3 linked regions of the Schizosaccharomyces pombe genome follow. The gene in region 1 interacts genetically with each later gene. Each region holds a gene or a part of one and is shown on either strand. Other genes may lie near its edges.

Region 1 (3,655 bases):
GGAAACAAATCCTTCGATTTCCCTTCGAATTTAACAAGAATGTTATCTCCTTCAAAATATGTAAGAGTATCGTTGTCAGTCGATTCGAAAGTAATGTTTGTTAAAGTATCATCGATAACTGTAATATATGATTGATTTGTAGCTTCCAGCTCTCGCATACTTTTTAGTATGTAGGATCGAACATGTTCATTTTGCTTGGAATTATAGGGATGAGGCAAACTTGATATATACTCTAGGTCATTCCAAGCTCGTTGAAACTCCAAATCTTTTAGCAAATTAGGTCCTGGAACTTGGGCAATCCGTTTCCAATCTAATAGATATAAGATAAGCAGTACAGTGAATCCAAAAATCGAGCAGGTTAAACTGGACTGAAAAGCCTTAGCACATATGCGTTCAAATATATGCCGTCTAGAATTTGTCATTACAAGATATAATTCGTAAATAAATTAATTAATTAATGAAGATTTAAAGGAATGTAGATTAATATATGGCGTTGAAAAAAGCACGTTGGTAGTCGATATTGACATCAGCCAATCTCAGTATTACTATATACAGTATCTTCTGCTATTCTCAAATTCACTTAGGATAAAAACCTTAGGAAGAATCACTTGAATCATCGGAGAGCTCACTACGCTTCCTTTTTTCCTTCCTCTGGTTGTAAGGCTTTATATTACTTCCATTCACCACAAAGCAATAATGTCGTGAATCTCGCAATTCACCTTTCCATGGCGATCTCTCGCTGATTCCATCAATCCAACCGATAGTTCTTCTGTGTGAATATTCGGGATAAAAAGAAGAGTCAAACTTTTCAGTCATCAGACTCGTATACCCTGCATCCTTGGCTAAACCTTTCAAATTCCACAAAGTGTAAGGTTTGGTCTCCGCTAAAGTTATTACAATTACGCCTTTTTCTGACAGAAGGAATTTAGATGCTTTAAAAAAGGCAAGAAGCATTTCTAGAATTAATTAGCGATATTCGAGATATGTCTCATTAAAAGTAATAAAAGCTATTATGAACGGCGTTTCCAAATTTATTTTTTAAATTATTTACGAATAAAAAACTTTAACTTCAAACTTACTTTGATTATCCAAAATGTTGCGGTCTTGATCCTTAATTCCTTTCCCCGAGTGAGGAAAATTCCAAAATATAGTATCAAATTTTTGTGTCTTAAGCTTTTTATGCAGATGCAGTTTCGTTGCATCAATTTCATGCATAACCTTTCCCCCATTTATTTCTATTTTTGAGATGTATTCAGCAGCATCTGGATATTTCTGCTTTAAATCTTCTTTAGAGTCATAGCTGGTAGCTAACACAAACCCCTCAGATGATACATGATGTAGCAATAATGAAAAAGCAAACGAAAAGTTGCCTTCTCCCAATAATAGAAATCTATTGTTTTTTTCAAATGGGAGTACATATCGCTCAGTGGGGCCTTTGTTCTTCCCTTTTCCAATTTTGTCGTTTGTTAAAGAATTCTGGCTATTTATACTTGACGAACCAATAGCATTATTTAAATTTCTTTTTTGAAGACGTCTTGCTTCTTTAAAACGAGCCTTTTTCCCCATATGAATGAAAACGATTGTTTTCAATTATTTGGCTAAAGACACTTCACTACTCGTGGATACAAATTTAGGTGTAACCCAATGTTCTCTTACTCGCTTGCTTAATCTTTAAAATAAAAAGCGAGTTAAACGGAATGTAAGAATAAAAATTTTCACGACAAACTAGCAATAAGTAAACTAGTATTTTCTCAATGAACTGTTTTGATATATCCTAATTTAACTCTTGCTTAATATATCTTTAGAAACAAATATACATCAGTTTAGTGAAATATACGATATATATGGTGAAATGTTTGCGACATTAAATAAATAGGTTCAATTAAACTCTATAAGAAAACTTCAAAAAAGATCTAAAGAAAAATTAAAAACAGAAAAAAAAAACAAATAACAAAAATTAATTGATCAAACCACAAAAACAAAACGAAATTAAACCACTTGCCCGACTACCTCGACTCCGTCCTCAAATACATAAGACTTATCGTCGGTTGGAGAAGGCGCATTCTTTTCTTGCTCTAGCTCATGGTTGACGATGAGCTGTCTTTGTTCTGCAACTTCAATTGCGCGACGTCTTTCCTCTTCAAAATTTTCACGAATTTTTTGCAATTCTTTCTCCATTTCTTCAACCGGACGAAACACCTTTCCTGAAACTTTACTATATTCTTCCATATCTAATTTAAATGGTTATTATTTGAGTACTCACACAATGTCTTACCAATAGGTTTTTTAATTTTCAAAGCTTGATTAACACGTGCAGGATTTCTTCTTTCTTCTTGTTTAAACTTTAGTTTTATCTGTCGACGATTACGAGTTGGAAACATATTAGCAATTAAAGCAAAATCAGTTCCCCACTGTGATAGAGCCTGCCATGTCAGTAAATACGAGCGCAATTCCTCCATACCTTATAAAATTTTTCAGTATCCATAGCGTTCCATTTCTCAGGTTTCTGCCTATTTCCCCAAGTAGCACTTGTAACCCGACGACTTAAAGAATTTTCTTCAACGTATTCGCGTTCCTCTGCTGGTACAAAATCACGTTCATGACGGTCGACTTCTAGTGAGGTTTCATCCAGAACAATTTGGCCATTAACAACTCGCGTACGAGGAGTTGCAGAGTAATTGGAGTTGTTATTCAAACCATCAACTTCCATTTTATCTGCTAACTGATCAAGAATAGACTTTGTTGGGTGAGAGAGACTATCTTCGAGAGAAGCAGACTCATCCGTACCCTCTTCTTCCAAACTTCCTACTATTTCTTCTTTCTCTTTCGGTTCGCTTGATTCTAGAAGACTGGCACTCAAAGGCTGTTTGATGGTAGAATCTAAAGACGCTTCTCGACTAGAGCTTGCAGTACTTGCTCCTTGTTTTTTAATCCTCTTTGCTCGTTTTTCCTCAAAAAGCATTTTTTCTAATTCGATAAATCGTTGACTTTTGCGGCCAATTCCAGGATCATCACATAAAGCAGACATTTTGGTTTCACTTATGTTAATGATTTTCTCGTCGGTACCCACGTTTTCCAATATCAATTGACTTTTTCTTTTCAAAGAAGATTCTATGATGTTATTAAATAATGCATTTTAGATTAACCCTTTATTTACGTACCTCTATATGAACGGCGAGACTTTTTTGTAGCCGGAGAATCCGCCTTTCCGTCACTAACAGCACTGAGCTGAGAAAGGGGAATGTTCTCATCAAAAAACAAATCTAATTCCTTCATAAATTGCTGTTCGGCTGAAGAGGATAAATCGGTTTCAGGCGACAAATGCTCAATAGCATTTAACGGCTGCTCAAGAACCGTTGGCTTAGAAATTTTAAAAGTAGGATTTGAATGCAAAAGTTTTTCATTTTGTTTCACTGAATCATCTTTTCTATAGGATGAAGCTGTGGGATTTTCAGTTGCCTCTTTGTGAACTACTGTTTGCACAACCGGACTAGAAATATCAGCATTGGCAGTATCACGAGACAGCTGAGCGGATGTTTCTACTTCGTTTCCTGTGAGGGGTTGATTTTTTTCTTCATGAACAACCTCTTTTTGGTCCGATACTTTCTCTCTACGGGCTGTAAATTTAGGGGCAAACCTTGACATTGATTTTTCT
Region 2 (7,648 bases), on another chromosome or scaffold:
GTTTGGGAAAAACCAGAGGAGTTAATGAATGACTTTGAAAAAAAGCTTTCGAAACTAGCTTGGAAAGAATATGCCACCGCTGATGGCAAAAAGTATTGGTATAATGTCAATACCCGTGAATCAGTGTGGGATATTCCTGATGAATATAAAGCTGCCCTTGTTGATGAACCGGAACAGCAAAAAAAGGCTTTGTCGTCTAAAATCAAAAGCAATGACAACAAGCCAGCTGTTCAAAGCATTCAACGGCATGGTCCGGATGTTGCTGCTCCTTCAAGTCAACCAGCTAAAGATCAAAGCCAACAAATTTCACAAGGCAGTCATAAACGAACTATAAACTTTGTTCAACAAAAGGATAAGCGCCAAAAACGTTCTAATGATTATCAGCACGAAAACTATGATACCTATGAAGCCGCAGAGCGCGCTTTCTTTAAATTTTTAGACTCTCATAATGTCAACCCAAGCTGGACTTGGGAGCAGACTGTCCGAGAGCTTTGTGATGCTAAGGGCTATTATGTCATGAAGGATCCTTGGCATCGGAAATGTGCTTTCGATGCGTACATCTTAAACTATTTGACCGATCAAAGTGATGCAGAAAAGAACCGAGTAACTAAGATTAGGAAGGAGTTTATTGAGATGCTAAAAAGTAGTGATAAAATTCATTCTTATACTTTGTGGCGTACTGTGAAGAATGAATTTTCTTCTCATCCTGCTTTTAACGCTACTTCTTCTGAAACTGAACAACAACAACTATTTTTTGAATATAAGCAAAAGCTTTTAGAGGATGAAAAGCAGTTGGAAAAGGATCGCAGAAAGGAAGCATTGGATGATTTTTGTTCGCTTTTGCGAAACATGAATTTCGAGCCTTACACCCGCTGGAGCGTTGCGCAAGCAAAATTTGATCAAGATCCAAGGTATACAAGGAATTCAAATATGAAATATCTTTCTAAATTAGATGCTCTTGTAGCATTTGAAGATCATGTTAAGCATTTGGAACGCGAATATATTCTTGACAAACAAAAGCAGAAGAAAGAAAAGCATCGTATAGAAAGGAAAAATCGTGATGCCTTTCGTGCGCTATTACAAGACTTACGCGTGCAAAAGAAGATTACATTACGCACGAAGTGGAAAGAATTATATCCCATAATCAAGGATGATCCAAGATATCTTAACTTACTAGGGCAATCTGGCTCTACACCATTAGATTTATTTTGGGATACGATCGTTGATTTGGAGAATATGTATCGGGAAAAGCGTAATTTGGTTTTGGACTGTCTTGAAGTATTGCAAATATCTGTGGATGACACATCTAATATTCCTGAAATTATAGCAAGGTTATCAGAAAAGCTTAAAGATCGAGAGGAAAGTGAGGCAGTAACTGAAGACCTTATTGAAGAAGTTGTTAATCGATTACGTGATAAAGCGATCCACAAAAAAGCTGAGGAAAAGCGTGCTGATGAACGACGCATTCGAAGGAAAATTGATAATCTCAGAAGTGCCATTAAATACCTTAAACCTCCAATTTCTGCCGATGCTTCTTACGATGAAATTAGACCTTTAATTTCTATTCTACCGGAATTTGCTGCGCTCCATTCCGAGGAACACAGGATGGCTGCTTTTGACAAATATATAAGACGGCTTCGAGAAAAACGGGAATTGGAAAAGCAATACCAAAACAGAAGAGGTTATTATGATGTCGGTAAAGATGAAAGTTATTTAGCGAATAGTGCCCGACCACATAGCGGATACGAAGATGGAAGGTTGGAATATTCTGCTGACTTAGCGTCAAAAAGTAATAGGAATGAAATTAATACGATGCAGGATGTACAGGAAAATTCAATCTCTCATGTTACCGCTACACAACCGGCTGTTAAAAATATTGTTGATGATGCAGAATCTAGTGAAGAAGGTGAAATTCGTTAGTATTCAAGTTAGAAATTTAATTGTTAGTGCGTTTAATACACATGCATTTTAATGTTCTCTCAACTCGCTTTTTGTATTCATACAGTTTGATTACCTTTAGTAGCGGATACAGCCTGTAGCTATTTGAACCTCTACCACCAGTACCTCAAAAATTGTTTTTGTAACAAAACTAGCAAGTTGCTATTAAAATAGCAAAATACTGCTATAAGCGTTCTATTTAATAACGCGTAAGTAAATTTTTATTAAATTTTGTTGCAGCCACAGTTCGTTTTCCGAATTTGACGCTGAATATGTGAATGATCCACGTGTCGCATTTTTTTGTTAAACCTACATTGTTCAATGCACTGAATGTAGCTCTCTTTTTTTAAAAACCTTCTTTCTTATTATGTTTTGCTTGTTTCTCTTGTGATACAATCTTTTTGGTGGCATTCGACCTTTTATTCAAAATTGCTCTTTCTTCGAAAATGAACGATATAGTGCTTCCTATCGAAAAGATACGGGAGTTAATATGTGTTCTTTATTTAAATCTGTTCGGATCTCGTCTAAATATAGTCGTTAGTCAAGAGTTATAAATATTCACATTTAAAGTGGCATCTGGCAGTTCTCAGTTAACTAGAAGTTGGATGGAAGCCTATTACATATTTCACAATTATTCAGCATTTCAATTTCGGAAAAGTTTTGCAATAAGAAATTTGCGAAATTGGTTCTAACTTCTGTTTTAGTTGATATGAGTACAAGTGCTATAGCACTTGCTTTGTCATCATCTAAGGCTATTGAGCAGCTGGATCACGTTCAAACTGAAACCCCTAATCTTAAGCAGGAAATGTCCGAATCCCCTTCGAATAGCGGCGTAGCCTCCAAGCGCAAATTACAATCTACTGAATGGCTCGACCCAGAGCTTTACGGTCTTCGACGTTCTGTATGTCTCACATTATTTTATTCATTATGAAACTTACTTAGATGCTAATCATTATAGGGTCGCACTCGTAGTAATCCAGGAAGATATGTAGACACTGATGATCAAGAAGATGTGTTCCCATCCAAGCATCGTAAAGGTACTAGAAATGGTTCATCTTTTTCTCGTCATCGAACAATTCGCGATTTAGACGATGAAGCTGAATCTGTCACCTCTGAGGAAAGTGAGTCAGATGATAGTTCTTATGGCGGAACTCCCAAAAAGCGATCTCGGCAAAAAAAATCAAACACCTACGTTCAAGATGAAATTCGATTTTCTTCTAGAAATAGTAAAGGTGTTAACTATAACGAAGACGCGTATTTTGAATCGTTTGAAGAAGAAGAGGAAGAAGAGATGTATGAGTACGCAACTGAAGTTTCTGAAGAACCTGAAGATACACGAGCTATAGATGTCGTTTTAGATCATAGACTTATTGAAGGACACGATGGCTCTACACCTTCTGAAGATTATGAGTTTTTAATTAAATGGGTTAATTTTTCTCATCTTCATTGTACATGGGAACCTTACAATAACATTTCTATGATCAGAGGATCTAAAAAGGTCGACAATCACATTAAGCAAGTCATACTTCTTGATCGAGAAATTCGAGAAGATCCGACCACTACGCGTGAAGACATTGAAGCAATGGATATTGAAAAAGAGAGAAAGCGTGAAAATTACGAGGAATATAAGCAGGTAGACAGAATTGTTGCCAAACACTTAAACTCCGATGGCTCAGTTGAATACTTAGTGAAATGGAAGCAGCTGTTATATGATTTTTGCACATGGGAAGCTTCCTCAATTATTGAGCCTATTGCTGCCACGGAAATTCAGGCATTTCAAGAAAGAGAAGAAAGTGCTCTTAGTCCATCAAGAGGTACAAACTATGGTAATTCGCGTCCTAAGTATCGAAAACTGGAGCAACAGCCTTCGTATATAACCGGTGGTGAGCTTCGTGACTTTCAGCTTACAGGCGTCAACTGGATGGCATATCTTTGGCATAAAAATGAAAATGGGATTTTGGCCGATGAAATGGGTCTCGGTAAGACAGTCCAAACTGTGGCTTTTCTTTCATATCTTGCACATTCTTTAAGACAGCATGGACCTTTTCTTGTAGTTGTTCCACTTTCTACAGTTCCTGCCTGGCAAGAGACATTAGCTCTTTGGGCTTCTGATATGAATTGTATAAGTTACCTTGGAAATACCACCTCAAGGCAAGTAATAAGGGATTACGAATTTTATGTTGATGGAACTCAGAAAATAAAGTTCAACTTGCTTCTAACTACTTATGAGTATGTACTCAAAGATCGCTCGGTGCTTAGTAATATAAAATGGCAATATATGGCAATTGACGAAGCTCATCGATTAAAAAACAGTGAATCGTCACTTTATGAAGCACTTTCTCAGTTCAAGAACTCAAATCGATTACTTATAACTGGAACACCATTACAAAATAATATTCGTGAGCTTGCGGCTTTGGTAGACTTCCTGATGCCAGGAAAGTTTGAGATTCGTGAGGAAATTAATTTAGAAGCACCAGATGAGGAGCAGGAAGCTTATATTAGAAGTTTACAGGAGCATTTACAACCCTACATTTTACGAAGATTAAAGAAAGACGTTGAGAAATCTCTTCCTTCTAAGTCTGAACGTATCCTTCGTGTTGAGCTTTCTGACTTACAAATGTACTGGTACAAAAATATTTTAACTCGCAATTACCGTGTCCTTACTCAAAGCATAAGTTCGGGAAGTCAAATATCTTTACTAAACATAGTTGTGGAGTTGAAAAAGGCAAGTAATCATCCTTACTTATTTGACGGAGTAGAAGAGTCATGGATGCAAAAAATAAACTCTCAAGGAAGACGAGATGAAGTCTTAAAAGGTTTAATTATGAACAGCGGGAAAATGGTGTTACTTGACAAACTTCTATCACGTCTTCGTCGAGACGGCCACCGCGTTTTAATTTTTAGTCAAATGGTTCGTATGCTTGACATTCTTGGTGATTATCTTTCTTTGAGGGGATATCCACATCAGAGACTGGATGGCACTGTCCCTGCTGCTGTACGAAGAACTTCAATAGATCATTTTAATGCACCAAACAGCCCAGATTTTGTGTTTTTATTATCCACACGAGCTGGAGGATTAGGTATTAATTTAATGACTGCTGATACAGTTATTATTTTTGATTCCGATTGGAACCCTCAAGCTGATTTACAAGCTATGGCACGTGCGCATCGCATTGGTCAGAAAAATCATGTTATGGTATACAGGCTTCTTTCCAAAGATACGATTGAAGAAGATGTCTTGGAACGTGCACGTCGTAAAATGATTCTTGAATATGCAATTATTTCATTAGGTGTTACAGACAAGCAAAAGAATTCCAAAAATGATAAATTTTCTGCTGAAGAGCTTAGCGCTATTTTGAAATTTGGAGCTTCTAATATGTTTAAAGCAGAGAATAATCAAAAGAAGCTTGAGGATATGAATTTAGATGAAATTTTGGAACATGCCGAAGATCATGATACTTCCAATGATGTGGGTGGAGCCAGCATGGGTGGTGAAGAGTTTTTGAAACAGTTCGAAGTTACAGACTATAAGGCAGATGTATCTTGGGATGATATTATACCCCTAACTGAACGTGAGAAGTTTGAAGAGGAAGACCGCTTAAGAGAAGAGGAAGAAGCGCTTAAGCAAGAAATTGAGCTTAGTAGTAGACGAGGTAATCGTCCTTATCCTAGCTCTGCGGTGGAATCCCCATCCTACTCTGGAACTTCTGAAAGGAAGAGCAAAAAGCAAATGCTTAAAGATGAGGTTTTACTGGAAAAGGAAATTCGGTTGCTTTATCGTGCTATGATTAGATATGGAAGCCTTGAGCATCGCTACAATGACATTGTTAAATATGCTGATCTTACTACGCAAGATGCTCACGTAATAAAAAAGATTGCAGCTGACTTAGTAACCGCTTCACGCAAGGCTGTATCAGCAGCCGAGAAGGACTTATCTAATGATCAGTCTAATAATAAGTCATCTCGTAAAGCGCTGCTCATTACATTTAAAGGTGTAAAAAATATAAATGCTGAAACATTGGTACAAAGGCTAAATGATCTTGATATTCTTTATGATGCTATGCCAACGTCAGGATATTCTAACTTCCAAATTCCAATGCACGTTAGATCTGTTCACGGCTGGTCCTGTCAGTGGGGACCCCGAGAAGATTCCATGTTGCTTTCTGGAATTTGTAAGCATGGATTTGGAGCTTGGTTAGAAATTCGAGATGATCCAGAACTCAAAATGAAAGACAAGATCTTTTTAGAAGACACAAAACAAACAGACAACTCTGTCCCCAAAGATAAAGAAAATAAAGAGAAAAAGGTACCTTCAGCTGTGCATTTGGTTCGTCGAGGTGAATACCTACTTAGTGCTTTACGTGAGCATCACCAAAATTTTGGCATAAAATCAAGCCCCGCTATTAGTACTAATGGAAAAACTCAACCTAAGAAGCAGACGGCTAATCGCAGACAAAGTGGCAAGCCTAACGTTAAATCTGCGCAAAAAATAGAGAGTGCAACTAGGACACCATCGCCTGCAATTTCAGAATCTCGTAAGAAACCTTCTTCTAAAGACACGAAGATTGAAACACCTAGTAGGGAACAGTCTCGCAGCCAGACAGCTTCACCCGTCAAATCTGAAAAAGACGATGGTAATGTAAGTCTAAATGCTGAACAAAAGGCACGCTGCAAAGAACTGATGTATCCAGTCCGTAAGCATATGAAAAGACTTCGGAAAGATTCTAGTGGGCTTGGACGCGCGGAGTTGGTGAAGTTACTTACTGAGTGTTTGACAACGATTGGAAAGCATATTGAAAAAACTGTCAATGATACACCCTCCGAAGAAAAAGCTACTGTTAGGAAGAATTTATGGATGTTTGCATGTTACTTTTGGCCGAAGGAGGAGGTTAAATATACCAGCTTGATCAGCATGTATGAAAAGATGAAGTAGATTTTAGCCTGTCATACAAAAGCCAATTTGTTTCTTCATTTTTCATCCGGAATATTTTAGGTTTGAAGCTCGAATATGTTTATCTTTTACAGTCTTCAATTTTGATTGCTACATTTCAAAGATCACTAAATTCTAGTCTAAAAATCGTTTCTTATTGTACCTTTAATTATAATGTTAATAAACCCTGCATTTCAAATCTTGACTTTAGGAAATCCTCCGGTATTCAGAACATAGAGTCAGCATAGATAAGAATAATCCAGTAATACAATTTGTTTTTAATTGAAATATCAATGGCAAACTGCTATTTATTAGTCTGCAACTTTATGCAGTTTGTAAATATAATAGTGTAACTCAGTAGACATCGTTACCAGTGAAAAGTTCATTCAAACATCACAGTACGGCAGGGTTCACCTTTCACACCAAATCACGTTTATAAATTAGAATGTCTCGTGCGGCCTTACCAAGCTTAGAAAGTACGTTACAAATTATTTAGAGTGGCTTTCGAGTACTATTTATTCGATATGCTAATGTCTATGATTTTTTCGTTGGCCTAAAGACGTTTACTAACATAATGCTTAGACCTTGAGGATGATGATGAGTTTGAAGATTTCGCAACAGAAAGTAAGTACTTTTAAAGAAATAATTATTTAACATCAAAAAGATTGGCCTATGAAAGATACAGAGCTTGATACTGGAGATGATACGCTATGGGAAAACAATTGGGACGATGAGGACATTGGAGACGATGATTTTTCTGTTCAATTACAAGCAGAGTTA
Region 3 (3,691 bases), on another chromosome or scaffold:
GCACCTTCTTCTTTGTCGAGATGAGCTTTGTAAAAGGAGTGAACTATTTGAACGAGTACTTCCCTTACGACAAAATCACATGGCTGTTTCTTTGAAAGCAAAAGGGAAATCAATCGCTCGACATTATAAGTGGATTGAGATAAACATTCCAATCCGCGCTAGGAAAAACGTTAGCAATTGTCAAAGGCAATGAAGACATAGGTCTAAATGTATATCACATGCATACCTGAACAGTGCACATGGCTTTAACGCAAAGTAAAAGTTGCTCCAGTATAGAATCGTGCAGTTCCTCTCTCCATTCAAGGCGAGAGATTTTGTCGATTGTACAAAATACTACACCGAAACCGCCGTTGTGTATAAACTTCTCTACCCATCTGTATTGCAGTTAGTATGAAAAACCTCAAAATAAACGAATGATTTATCATTCAATCAAAACAATAGTAGTGCCAAAAAAAAAGATAATTTAAGCATCACCACTTTGATTCACGTAGCTGCACAAAATGTAAACATACATTACTTGCTCGTTTCTGAGAAGTAGAGCTAATTTGTGTATGATAGATTCATCGATTGAGTCAATTTTTGTATTTACAATATACGAAATAAAGTCGTCAGGTTGCTCGTAACATGGTTTTTTACGCATCCAAGCAATTAATTTATTTCGCTTTTTCTGGTCTTTTTGCTGTAAACTGGACACGATTTCCATTTTAATTCCTTCATTAAGGGAAAGTAAACTCTTTGAGGCCTCTGAAGAAAGAACTTGAGGCTTGATTAAATCTTCAAAACATTGTGGCATTTCATCTTCAGAAGGGGTTGAAGGAGTCTGAAAGCTCAAGCTATCCTCTCGATCAGAAGAATTAACGCTTTCAGAGAGCCCATCAGAGCTCAAAGAGCGAGCACCTAAAAGCCGTTTTACTGAACGTAGAGAATTCATAATGTGTGTAAGGAATAGTCGTGTGGTATATTTACATAGAAATGGGAGGGCTGGTATATATTAAAATGGCACGCTGACGCGTCCGAGGAACAAGCCACAGGAACATGAAACGGACAATATCGGGAATTAATTCAATAATTAGGCTAATACGCGGAACGGTTGTTCCAATTTTTAATATGTACAATACTAAGCTATGGCCCTAGACTTAGGGAAGGAAAATAGCACATGAATGTTCGAAAAAAAAAAAGAGAAAGCTTCCGTTATTTAATAAACCATACTATTTACGCCTATCATTATTTTCATTAATAGCTATACATAGTAAATCCAACTTGCAAAATTTTGAGATTACGCGTGTTGAGTTAATGTTTGATATTGGTATATACACTATCGTATGTAAGTCAAATGAGAAGAATGGAAAAATAAGAATGTATTGAGCTTTAAGATATAGTAAATCTCGGTCTATTTTGGGTAAGAATTTTAATATGTACTTCTCAATTATCTGGAATTCACTGAAGGTTGTGAAAAGGAAAAATATTTCGGACATCCAAAATTTGCTATTATAATGAAGGTGCAACTAACTGAGTAGTAGAACCGATATCTAAAATAAATTGATTATTTGGAAATGTATGGTTAAACAAGAAGGCTCATATTACCTGAACTAACATAATGTCGTTAAAAATTACAGTTCAAAGCAGTGCTGAAATTATACTAGAATTCTGGTACATTAAAACGCGTCGCTTATAATAGAATCACTTCTTTCTATCAATAGATTAAACATACAATTTTGCTATTTCACGTAGGGATGTAGTAAAGTGAGAGAAGTAGGTGGGACATACATTTCCTACTCAGCACAACGTAACGTGCTTAGTGTCAATATCATGGGGACGAGTGGAATTGAAATATTTGCAGCTTTAAATGATTTCACAGATGGTAAGAGGCGAAAATAAACACATTGATTAACATTTTACAGCCATTGTTTCAGTCCCTGAATCAGTATGTGGAAAATTCACGAGTTTGAAAGAGATCGATGCACAAGTACGAGGTAAGTGAAATATATATTTTTAAAACGTGTGGTTAACAAAATCTTAGATATCCGTCAAAATGTCATACAGGAAATTGGTGTGGTTCTAAAAAACGAGAAAAATGACGAATTGTCAGGAGAAGAAAGATGTGAGCGATTACAAAAGACACTAAAAGAGATACTTCCATATTCTGATTCAAAGATTTGTTTGGCCACAGACGCAATGAATAATATCAAGAGTTGTATCGACCGTTTGGATGCTGGGTTTGAATATGTTGAATTGGAGATTCCCCAACAATTGAGATTGGGATATCCAGACGATCGAGCTTTAATGAATTATCATTCTACTGTGACTCCTCAAACTTCTGAAAGGAGACGGGAAACCCGTCGGCATCAAAATAACCAGCATTCCCAGCAATATTCCTCTCAGGAACGGTCGTCTTCATATAACAACTTTGAAGACGCTTCATCGCCGCAATCTTCTTATCACACCCCTACAAAGCGTCGAAAAAATGCTGTTCCTAGAAAATCATCATCACCTCCATTATCGAGTACAAAGCATGCGCCGCAATCTACGGAGAGGCGACCAGTGCGGAGATCAGAATCTCGTTTAAAACAGACAAATGGGGAACCACTTGTCAAACACGACACATTAGATTCAAGTGATATCAGCCGTGAAGGTGAGCAACTTTACTGTTACTGTCAACAAGTTTCCTATGGACAAATGATTGGATGTGATAACGAAAATTGTAAAAGAGAATGGTTCCATTTACCTTGCGTTGGTCTAGTAGAACCACCGAAGGGGATCTGGTATTGTAAAGAATGTGAAGAGTTAGCAAAATCATCTGAAAGTCGTCAATGAGCCGGGATCCTTTTTATTTTCTTTCACCTTCTTTTTATTGTTAATTTCTCAGTGTTTGACATCGTTATGAAACATCCATTACCACTGCTTGCATTGCTCTTGTTTACTGAATCAATTAAACTAACGACAACATTTCTATACCTCATAAAACCCTTATAACGATTTTTATGGTTTCGTTAAAGGATACAACCATCAGCTACGTATCTCGGTATACTATTTAATGATATGTAAAACTACGGTGTGTTTTGTTTGCAATCTACAAAAAGCGGATGCAATATGTATGAGTAAGTAATATTATAATTATTTTTATTAGAAATTTGTTAGTAACTAGTCATTGAAGTAAGGAAGCAATTTTAGGCGCAAACTTTATTAAATTTTTTCTTTGAATTTGTTTTGTTAGCTTACATACTTGTTAATAAATGGAAATTCCTTCATGCATGTTTCAAAAGCGAATTTAAATAGTATTCAAAGTAATGACAAATAGTGATACACAACATAGTGTATCATAGCTTAGTGCATTATTACTGACACACATCTATAGCAAATATATCTCTCTCGTTATTTTTTTAAGGATACCTCCTTGCATTACGTCTAAATGCTTTTACTAATGGATTTTCCAACTTATCGTTTCCCTCCTTCTCATCTAAAGTAATTCTTAAAATTGGGATTTTCTTGAATTTTAAATACTGTTTTTATTTGTGTTACAAAAAAGTTAATTAACAGTTTCTTGTCCAAATCTCGTTGAATTTTTGATCATCTGATAATGAAGTACCAATTTAACGTTGCTATGGCTTGTGATGGCTGCAAAAATGCCATCGATCGCGTTTTAACTCGTCTGGGTGCGTTTTAAAAAAAGTCATTTTTTAAGTATTTAGAT

The links. Genes that interact genetically often act in the same process or in processes that back each other up.
Region 2: mutations in bmt5 (region 1) and hrp3 together harm fitness more than expected from each alone (negative genetic interaction), as found in Schizosaccharomyces pombe (2 studies listed by BioGRID).
Region 3: mutations in bmt5 (region 1) and png2 together harm fitness more than expected from each alone (negative genetic interaction), as found in Schizosaccharomyces pombe (2 studies listed by BioGRID).

Annotation. Positions count from the first base shown.
Region 1 is NC_003421.2:2,235,558-2,239,212, forward strand, and holds bmt5 (rRNA (uridine-N3-)-methyltransferase Bmt5), read right to left. Parts: upstream 1,601-3,655; 5' UTR 1,567-1,600; coding exon 1,080-1,566; exon of another isoform or gene 957-1,079; coding exon 595-956; 3' UTR 504-594; downstream 1-503. Other genes in the region: erm2 (aminopeptidase), read right to left, coding at 1-422; transcription factor TFIIIB complex subunit Bdp1, read right to left, coding at 1,990-2,231, 2,276-2,423, 2,462-3,111, 3,162-3,653.
Region 2 is NC_003424.3:5,375,780-5,383,427, forward strand, and holds hrp3 (CHD family chromatin remodeller Hrp3), read left to right. Parts: upstream 1-2,044; 5' UTR 2,045-2,147; exon of another isoform or gene 2,148-2,636; intron 2,637-2,642; 5' UTR 2,643-2,647; coding exon 2,648-2,839; intron 2,840-2,896; coding exon 2,897-6,871; 3' UTR 6,872-7,134; downstream 7,135-7,648. Other genes in the region: U1 snRNP-associated protein Prp40, read left to right, coding at 1-1,920; proteasome receptor/ubiquitin ligase adaptor Dss1, read left to right, coding at 7,314-7,344, 7,451-7,492, 7,533-7,648.
Region 3 is NC_003423.3:1,120,068-1,123,758, reverse strand, and holds png2 (chromatin modification family protein Png2), read left to right. Parts: upstream 1-1,797; 5' UTR 1,798-1,809; coding exon 1,810-1,861; exon of another isoform or gene 1,862-1,901; coding exon 1,902-1,973; exon of another isoform or gene 1,974-2,020; coding exon 2,021-2,814; 3' UTR 2,815-3,098; intron 3,099-3,154; 3' UTR 3,155-3,177; downstream 3,178-3,691. Other genes in the region: GTPase-binding protein Rid1, read right to left, coding at 1-158, 227-374, 513-931; Cu chaperone Atx1, read left to right, coding at 3,578-3,653.